Linked DNA regions of Drosophila melanogaster. The protein of the gene in region 1 interacts with the protein of each later gene in a pairwise test. Each region holds a gene or a part of one and is shown in the gene's direction. Other genes may lie near its edges.

What was found.
Region 2: the proteins of CG32086 (region 1) and hoe1 interact in a two-hybrid assay, tested with the Drosophila melanogaster proteins (one large-scale study listed by BioGRID).

The regions. Positions count from the first base shown.
Region 1 is NT_037436.4:11,581,851-11,586,058, reverse strand, and holds CG32086 (uncharacterized protein), read left to right. Parts: upstream 1-1,994; 5' UTR 1,995-2,025; coding exon 2,026-2,549; intron 2,550-2,614; coding exon 2,615-2,791; intron 2,792-2,842; coding exon 2,843-3,617; 3' UTR 3,618-3,658; downstream 3,659-4,208. Other genes in the region: rt (rotated abdomen), read left to right, coding at 1-116, 208-987, 1,047-1,768; CG33269 (uncharacterized protein), read left to right, coding at 3,943-4,208.
Region 2 is NT_033779.5:4,929,367-4,934,391, reverse strand, and holds the start of hoe1 (hoepel1), read left to right. Parts: upstream 1-2,007; 5' UTR 2,008-2,299; coding exon 2,300-2,478; intron 2,479-5,025. Other genes in the region: hoe2 (hoepel2), read left to right, coding at 54-380, 433-1,107.

The DNA.
Region 1 (4,208 bases):
CGTCTGTTTGGGAGCCGCCGGAACCGTCAAGTACGTCGGATTCTTGGCACTGGGGCTAGCCTTTTATTTGCTGTGTCGACACCTGTGGCAACTGCTCTACGACGCCGGTCTCACCGGTAAGATACCTTTTTTTCTGAGATTTACAAATACGATTTACGATATAATAATAGAGATTGAATAAATCAAAATAAAACCATTTTTTTCAAGATCGCCAGCTATGGATGCATGCCATAAGTCGCCTGTTAATCTTTGTTGGAATTCCATTGGCGGTCTACTTGGGAGTCTTCTATATCCACTTCAAGACGCTGCACCGGGCTGGACCGCATGATAGCATCATGACTAGCGCGTTTCAGGCCTCGTTAGATGGAGGATTGGCATCGATCACAAAAGGACAGCCATTGGCAGTGGTTCATGGATCCCAAATCACACTACGACACACCCACGGACGCACCTGTTGGCTGCACTCGCATGCAGCTGTCTATCCGGTGCGGTATCCGGACAAGAGAGGCTCCTCCCACCAGCAGCAGGTCACCTGCTACTCCTTCAAGGATGTGAACAACTGGTGGCTGGTTAAGCGACCAACAAAGGAGAACCTGGTGGTGGGTGATGAGCCGGATATCATTCGGCACGGTGAAATTATTCAGTTGGTCCATGGAATTACGAGCCGAGCTCTGAACTCACACGATGTGGCTGCGGCAATGACGCCGCAGTGCCAAGAAGTCAGCTGCTACATAGATTACGAGATCAAAATGGCCGGTGAACTGTTGTGGCGCGTGGAGATTCTGAATCGCGATTCCGAAGGTGACATTTGGCATGCCATCAAGTCGGAGGTCCGCCTCGTTCACGTGTCCACAGAAGCCTCCTTGAAGTTCAGTGGGCGCCAACTTCCCGAATGGGGTTTCAATCAGCACGAGGTGGTGGCGGATCGTGAAAAGGCAATACATGAGGATGCCATTTGGAATGTTGAGGAGCACCGCTATACACAGAGTAAGTCCTCTTCGAGATACTTGAAGAAATACGTTATCCTCATTTACAACCCTTTATAGCTGAGGATCATCGGGAGCGAGAGCGCCAGATGCTAACTGCCGAGATGATACCCACAAAGCGGACGCGCATCTCGTTCTGGGCCAAGCTACTGGAGCTACAATCCAAGATGCTGTTCCAAACGAAGTCAGTGCCAAATCACATGTACAGCTCGATGCCGCACGAGTGGCCGCTAATGGACAAGGGCATCGCTTATTGGTTGGACTCACAGTCGAGTGCGCAGATCTATTTGCTGGGAAACATACTACTCTGGTACACAGCCACCATGGGAATACTTGTCTATGCCGGATTACTCGCCTTCTACGCGATGCGGCGGCAACGTCTTTGCTTTGATATTTCGGAGCAAGAGTGGCAGCGATTCGTATTAGCTGGTGACACCTTTTTTATGGGCTACGTGATGCACTATATTCCGTATTTTTGTGTGGATCGTACACTCTTCCTGCACAATTACTTGCCAGCCTTTGTGTTTAAGTTACTTTTATTGTGCTTTGTCGTGGAGCATTTGGACTATCTGCTCAGGCGCTTCTGCACCGGACGTGGTGTCCATCTGGTGCGCCTTTATCGCCTCATGCTAATCCTGTGGCTGGTGGGCGTGCTTAGCATTTTCTCAAAGTTTATACCATTCAGTTATGGTGCGAGAAAAATGACTTTAAATGAGGTTCGCAGTCTTCGATGGAAGGATACCTGGGACTTTGTCCTGCACAAGAACCACCACCTGTACTGAAAAAACAGATGCCATCTCCGCGGCCAGAGAGAGACGTGCAATGATGTACTAGTACCATGTACAATAGACTAGACGACTAGCTAAAGTTGAACTAATACTAAGCCATAAATTATTTGACATGTAAACATACTCATTTACAAGACCAATAAATACAATTATTTATTTATTTAAGATGTTCTGCTTTATCACTCAGTAATATGTATAAGCACTCTGAAAACACTTGAACCCACACTATATACATAAATACACTCATAAACATGGCCAATAAGGGACACTTTATAGACAGAAATGCAAATATACCGACTGCAGGATTGTCCACCAGTGGATTAGATGGAGCGGAAGGTGTAAAAGTTTGTCTTAGTATTAGCAATCCAGAAGAATTGGCTGAGAGTCTAGTTAGGCGCAATTACGGGCAGATCAATAAAAAATCCCAGAAGTTCCCAGCCGGTTCCGTTCAACCCAGCAGCAGCATCCGGGATTTGCTCACCAGCGAGTTGCAAAAGTCGCGCTTTATGTCCTTCAAGGAGAAGTTCTACGAGGAAATGTACTTCAAAAAGGCCACTTTGGGTGGGGTCAAGAAAACGTACTCCAAACCGGAAGACGTGACCAATATAAGCCAAACCTTCGGAAGTCCATCGAGTCAATCACAAAATGAATGTCTCTACGACGTCATATTGCCGGCCAAGTCGGCGGAGCAAGTTAATAAGGAGTACGAGGCTTTCCACGACAAGTACATCATCAGCCACAATCACTACTTTCCTTCGGAGCAGGTTAACCGCAGGTCAAGCTATTGGTCACTACAAATGCAATGGTGCATATTTAATGAACGTCTTAAATATTTTTTAGATATGCCCAACCATTTGATCGAAAATCACCTTGTGGAGATATACATACTCACGGCGATTTTGGACTGAAAGTGAAGCGATGTCTGGAGGAAGGTGAGAACCACCTGAAGGTTATTGGCAAGGCGCAAGTGGACTTTATGGATCGAAACGAGGCACCCCTCGGAATGCGAAACAAAAAGTAAGTATAGATAGATATAGATTTTGATTAATAGTTTTAGACTGTCTGTAGGTACACTTTTGCGGTGCCCGACATAACTTTCGGTGTTCCTCTGCGCAGCAATGGCGATGTGAAGATGCTGCTAAATAATATTGAACCCTGCTACAAAACCAACCGGCTACTAGATGCCATACGCTATTTGAACAAAAAACGTCATAGTTTGAGGAACCAGCTGGAATTTCACAAGTACGCACTAAATTCAGTGCTGGAGAGGAGTGACACGGATGGAACGGGTCACTTGCCACTGGCACGCATCTTGGAAATTTTCAGAAGTTTTCACATCCGTCTGGATGCGCAAAAAATCCGTCTGGCCTTGTCCAATTTTCGGCTGATTGTGGACGAGGGCTGTGCCACGGAGCGGGTGAATTATGTAGATTTCTTTCGACTTCTCTCGATTCAGAATTCTCTGCCGAAAACGGGAAACTTGACCAATGTATCCGATGTTAGTTGTCTGGACACCACATATCGTTTGCTCTGCGCCGATCTTCAAAACAAGTCAAAGGATAATACGGGAGCAATTAGCCAGAATCTCGAAGGGAATAAAACAACTGCCAAGGATCTTATAACACCGGATTTGGCCATTTTACGTGGCCTTACTCACAGTGATTTCACCTGTTTGCGGCCCAAAGCGGAAATCGAACGTATCTTTAGAAGTCTCGTAACAACTGATAAATTCGAAGCTATTTGGCAGAGTCTAATGACTAAGTTCAAGGACCAAAATGAAATGGCATCCGTCACGCAGTTTCGTACTGAAATGCACAACAAAATAGAGGCCATATCTACATAATACTTAGACAATTTACCATGACAAACAAATATATAATAAACAAAAATAAACTATAGCATAAGTTTGGGCTGTCATTTGTGTGAAGCAAATATTTGCTACAGCATTAAACTTTCAAAGCTGGTGTCTTACGACCAAATATTTAAATTTCTGTGATCAGTTAGGAAATCAAATTAATACTAGTTTTCTAAATCCGGAAATTACTGGAGAACTATAAATGGGGTGACTTCAACATCAGTTGATCACAACAGCCCTTCGCCGCTTTTAAGCCAAGTCTAATATCAATTGCTTTGCCAGCTAACCAACATAACCAACAATAACATCAAAGATGAAATACCTGTTCGTGGTTGCCCTTATTGCCCTGGCCATCCAGGTGGCTTCATCTTCTAGTAATACAACAACAACTGATGCCACCACCACAACAACAACCACCACTGCAGCATCGACCACAACAACAACAACGGCCGCTTCCACTCACAAAAAGCTTTGTTGGAGGGGCAACAACTGGTGCCACACCCGCATTCCCAAGCGGAAGTGCAAGAACCCAAAGAGGTGCCACAAGACCATCGTGATTGTGACCCACAGGAAAAATTA
Region 2 (5,025 bases), on another chromosome or scaffold:
GTATAACATATAGGTTATGCAAGCTGTTATATAGATTTCCCCTACCTTTTCAGGATGTAACTTTTCCCACATTTGTGGCCCACACATTTCCAGGTGTCATTCTAGCAGTTATTCAAAGTTGTGTGTACCTGCGCCTCTTCTATCACAATATCGATGCACTGCGTCTCAATGAGCCCAAGGAGATGAGTGAGCTGCGTAGGGAGATGAAGGTGTGGCAGAGAGCCTTGAATGCAGTGGCCTCCTGTTCCAAGGATGCCCAGCTGGTGAGGGGAACGCTCCAGGCTAAGATTAAGCAACTGAAAAGGACCCTTAGAAGATTGCAAAAAGGTGTGGGCTCCACGGAGGTCTATACGAATACGCTGGACGAGCTCAAGCAGAAAGTAAGTGGATTTACTGAACTGGGATCTTTATAGCTGAGCAATCCATTTCCAGTACCCCATCAAAAACAAGACGCTGCTTTTGCAATCCGCTGGAGCCCTACTCTTCGTCATTGTTTGCTTCTTCATCCAATCCGTGCCGCACTGGAGGACATTACCCCTGGGTTGGGTGGCCCTGCTGGGTGTGATCCTGCTGCTGATCATCCTCAATCGCGATGACATGGAGCACTTGATGCACCGCATCGAGTGGACCACGCTGCTCTTCTTCGCCGCCATGTTCGTGATGATGGAATGCGTGGAGAGATTGGGAATCTTCGCCTGCATCAGTGAGCTCACCGAGCACGTTATCCTTTCGGTGGGAAAGAGTCATCGTCTGGCCATGGCCATCTTTATGATATTATGGATGTCGGCGCTGGCATCATCCATATTGGATAGTATTCCGGTGGCAGCCATAATGGTGAAGCTGGTGACCTCTCTGGTGGCCAAGCCATCGCTGGGACTGCCCCTCCAGCCACTGGTTTGGGCTCTGACCCTGGGCGCTTCGATGGGCGGAAATGGAACGCTCTATGGCGCATCAGCCAATGTCATTGCAGCCGGAATTGCCGAGCAACATGGCTATAAGTTGTCCTTCACCCGATATCTGAGAACAGTTTTTCCCATGATGCTGGGACAGATCACCCTGATGACTGTCTATCTACTGGTGGCGCATGTGGTCTTTGAATGGCATTGAGACTCCCTATTTAATACACATACTGAATAACATATTATTGTATCTAATGATGGAAAATGTTTTTCACTTCGAATCTAATCGTGTGTTTTTTTGTGTGAGTTTTACTGTAGTCTTTGTCCTTTTACATTCGCCTCTTGATGTGTTTCATGTGTTTTTGGCATATAAAATAAGAATATTTATATTTAAGCGTTCATTTGTGATTGGCAAATGTATAAAAATATACCATAAATATAAAAGTACACATGGTTTTTCGTTCGCCTTCGTGGAATTTGGCTGGACTGATGGAAATCACTTTTGGTAGTCCATCAAGGCGGTGTTTTTAATGTCGTGTGAAATGTTATAAATTTAGACTTTATTGTCTAAGGTCGAAGTGGGGAAATCGTGAAAATTCAACAGGCCATAAATACAAAACGAAGGAAAATTATAGATTTGATTTTCAAATTTCAATAAGAGGCAGTTCTACAAGTATTTAGATACATTTAAAATTCGAAGCGATGTCTGTATTTTAGAGATTTCAAAGCACAATATAAACATATAATAAGTTAAATTATAAATATCATAATTCTCGTGTTTTCTAGTTTATCCCATATGCACCTTGGTTTGGAAAACATAAACAAACGTAAATAATTCCTGAGACTGACCATTGCCAAGTTCAATGTTGACCAGAATATCCGCATATGAAAGTGCTTGCATGTACATATACATATATATTAAAAGCGAGTATATAGCATATAGTATATGGAAAGAAGACAACTGCTGGTCAATAAATGAGAATAAGACAATGTGGAAAAGCAGCGAGGGATTTCCTCGGGTGGTTGTTGCTATTTATTTGCTCTGCTACTGCTGCGCTTTCCACACTTTCCACAGCGCTCGTTCCATAGGTAAATTGTATTTTAAGTTCACAAACAAATGGCCACGAGGGATTGCGAATGGAGGAGGTGAAACGGAGGACCCGACCTGTCCGCCATGTGGAGAGGAGACTGCCAGCAGTTTTATGGCAGCCGCGAGAGGGAAAGTCGTGCCGACAACGACTGACTGAATTTTAATTAATTTGCGCCAAGGAATAAAGTGAAAATTGGAAATTGGCTTATTTGGCCCAGACTGGCCGCCCTGCAGGCCAAATAAAAATGTGATAAGCGTACGAAATTACGCCGAAATCGAGTTGGTTTTTTTTTTTGTAAGGTGAACCAAGATGACATCTCCCTATGGATACAGTAAGCCCACCTTTATGATAACGGACCACACTCGCGATCCGTATCATCTGCAGCCGGGTGATGACGACGACGATCGGGATGAGGATGAGGAGCGTCAGACGAAGCTGCAGGAGATCATCAGTTGGCTGCACTTGAATGCCAAGCATCGCAGCAAATGGTAAGTCGGCCGCATCAAGTATACGCCGCGGGTGGCCCATGCAAGTCAGCTTATATTGATATTAAGTATACGCCCGGTTGGCCACCGCCACTCGAAGTTTGAGTTGTTTATTTGCCCGGTTCCGTTTTCTCATTAGCCTGGCATTAAATTGTGCTGCAGGAGATGATGGACCCAAAACTTTTCCTTTTAATGTCCTGCTAAGCTTCTTAATAACGGTCCATTGGTTGCGACTTGTTTGTTTTCCGAGATGAAATCAACTCGAGGACATTTTGTGGATTTTAAGCCGCTGAGAGCCGCAACAGATGGTTTCCATTGAGATTGATTACAATTTATTTGTTTTTTAGTTGAAGCAGACACAGCAGTTTGTATATTTCATACTCCATATGCGTTGGAATTCCAGCAGAGTAATAAATGCGCTTTTCTTCGAAACTCTGATTGAAATGATACTCCTAATCCGAATTAATCATGTTTTTGTTTTGTTAGGGATTTTTTCCATTAGCTTGTGGTTATAACAAAATGCCAGGCACGAAGGTATTGTTGTATGCAATTTGTGTGAATAATTCGAAGAATAGTTGGCATATACCCATTTCCAATCCAAGCCAATCTTTTGTTCGAGCAATTCGCTTCTGGGAACTACCATTCGATATAGGTTGCTTATAATCGATAATGTAATACCTTGGACACGTGCAAAATAAACTGAAGTACGCAGTGCAATGTGGAGATTATAAATAAACAATGGGGAATAAATATTGACTTGCGTTGCATTATATTATTTTATTTATAGTTCTCTATTTCCGTTGGCAAATACGTGGTTCAGCAGCCTCCGCAGCTGTTTGTAGGTTTTTTTGTATTAAGTTAAGCATTCGAATTAAGTGTCGTATTCAAATTAGTGCACTCACTCCCACACAAAAATTATCGGTGTAGTGAAAACCTAGGGTAATGCGAATTACATACGCAGTTGGTCCTCAATTAAAAGTTCCGCCTTGTTAATTAACAATTAAAGGGAAAACTCGAGACGGTAAATCACTGAGTTCTCTGGTTTATAGCGCAGTTACACTTGGTTGCAATAGAGAAGGCTGCTCATAAATATACAGGGTGTGTGGAGTCGACTTACATACTTGGGAGCATTATAAAGCATTCATAAACAACGAATAATAAACAACAAAATATGTACAATAAGCAACAGAATTTCATACAGAAAATGATATATTTATATAAACTTAACGATTTTTCTTATAACTAGTTTCCGGGACACCCTGTTTCCATTTGACATATTCTTGACAATCAAACCTGAAGTGAGCTTAGCTTATTATATAAGCGCTCGTTATTTACATAATTATTGTTTATTTACTCACGCTGAGCATTTGTTGTATACATCTACGTCTTGACCATGTGTAGAATCCACTAAGTACTGTATGCATATTGGTTGCAATTAATTTGCATTTTTGCATTGGCTGATACCAAGTAATTACAGCTAACACATCGATAATTGCCGTTGGCCAATTGGCAAAGTTTATGGATACTAAAGAAAAGAGGGAAGGGTTAAATACAGTTGGGATTATGGGCTATAAGTTATTCGCACTGACAGCTAAACACTTTGATGTGGCTGCCCATTTTTACGCTGACTTTCTGACAAGCAAATGAAAAGTCATTCAGTAGTTTCAAGTCCACCCAGAACCACGTGATCCCTCCACGGAACATGCAACCCAAGTTTGGTGGTCCCACGATGACATACATATATGTATGTAGAGATATGTGTGGAAACTTGTCAATGGTTTGTTGGGTGGGTAGCTTGGTGGCATGAAGGAGGTGCGAATAACTATCCCTGTACATGAGGGTTTTCCGCTCACAATTTTCCAACAAACTGTAAATACACTTTTTCTGGTTGCCAAGGGATGAGCTTAGGGGCTGTAAAAGTTCCGGCTTGAATTTGGAATGTACTATGTGTCTCTATGGGGGCCAACCTTTGAGGCACAATTGAGTGGAAATGAATTATGTATTAGTTGTTATTATGAAATGGAATGTACTCAATAGCTTGGCTTATGTGGTATTACAGTTTTCAACCAACTATATTAATGTATTAAGAACGGAAATGTTAAGAGAAAGTAACTGCTGATAGCATTTAACCCATATAACTCCGAATCAACTGCACCCATGCCCCATATTATTCAGATGGATAAGCCGCAGAGACCTTGGGCGAAGATACAATTGTTATTGGAAGAAACACACCTATTGCGTCTCACTGTGGATATCATCAGCGTTATTATTACTATTATTGCCATCGTCTTATTGAATGTGGGTGAGGAAAATTGCGGAATAAAAGAGCATTAATATTCCAGCTTTAAAGTCGCTCAAATGTCAAACGGCTCGTGGCGAGAAATAATATATATATACACGAGTTCACTTTGAGTTCCTTGGAGTGTGTTTGCGTTTCATTGTCCGTGGCATTAGGGTTTTTGGGATTCGGATTGGGTCTCGCATTTGGATTGAGTTGGGGCACAGCAGAAGCTGTTTGCTGATAAACTCGCCTTTTGTCTGCCCATACAG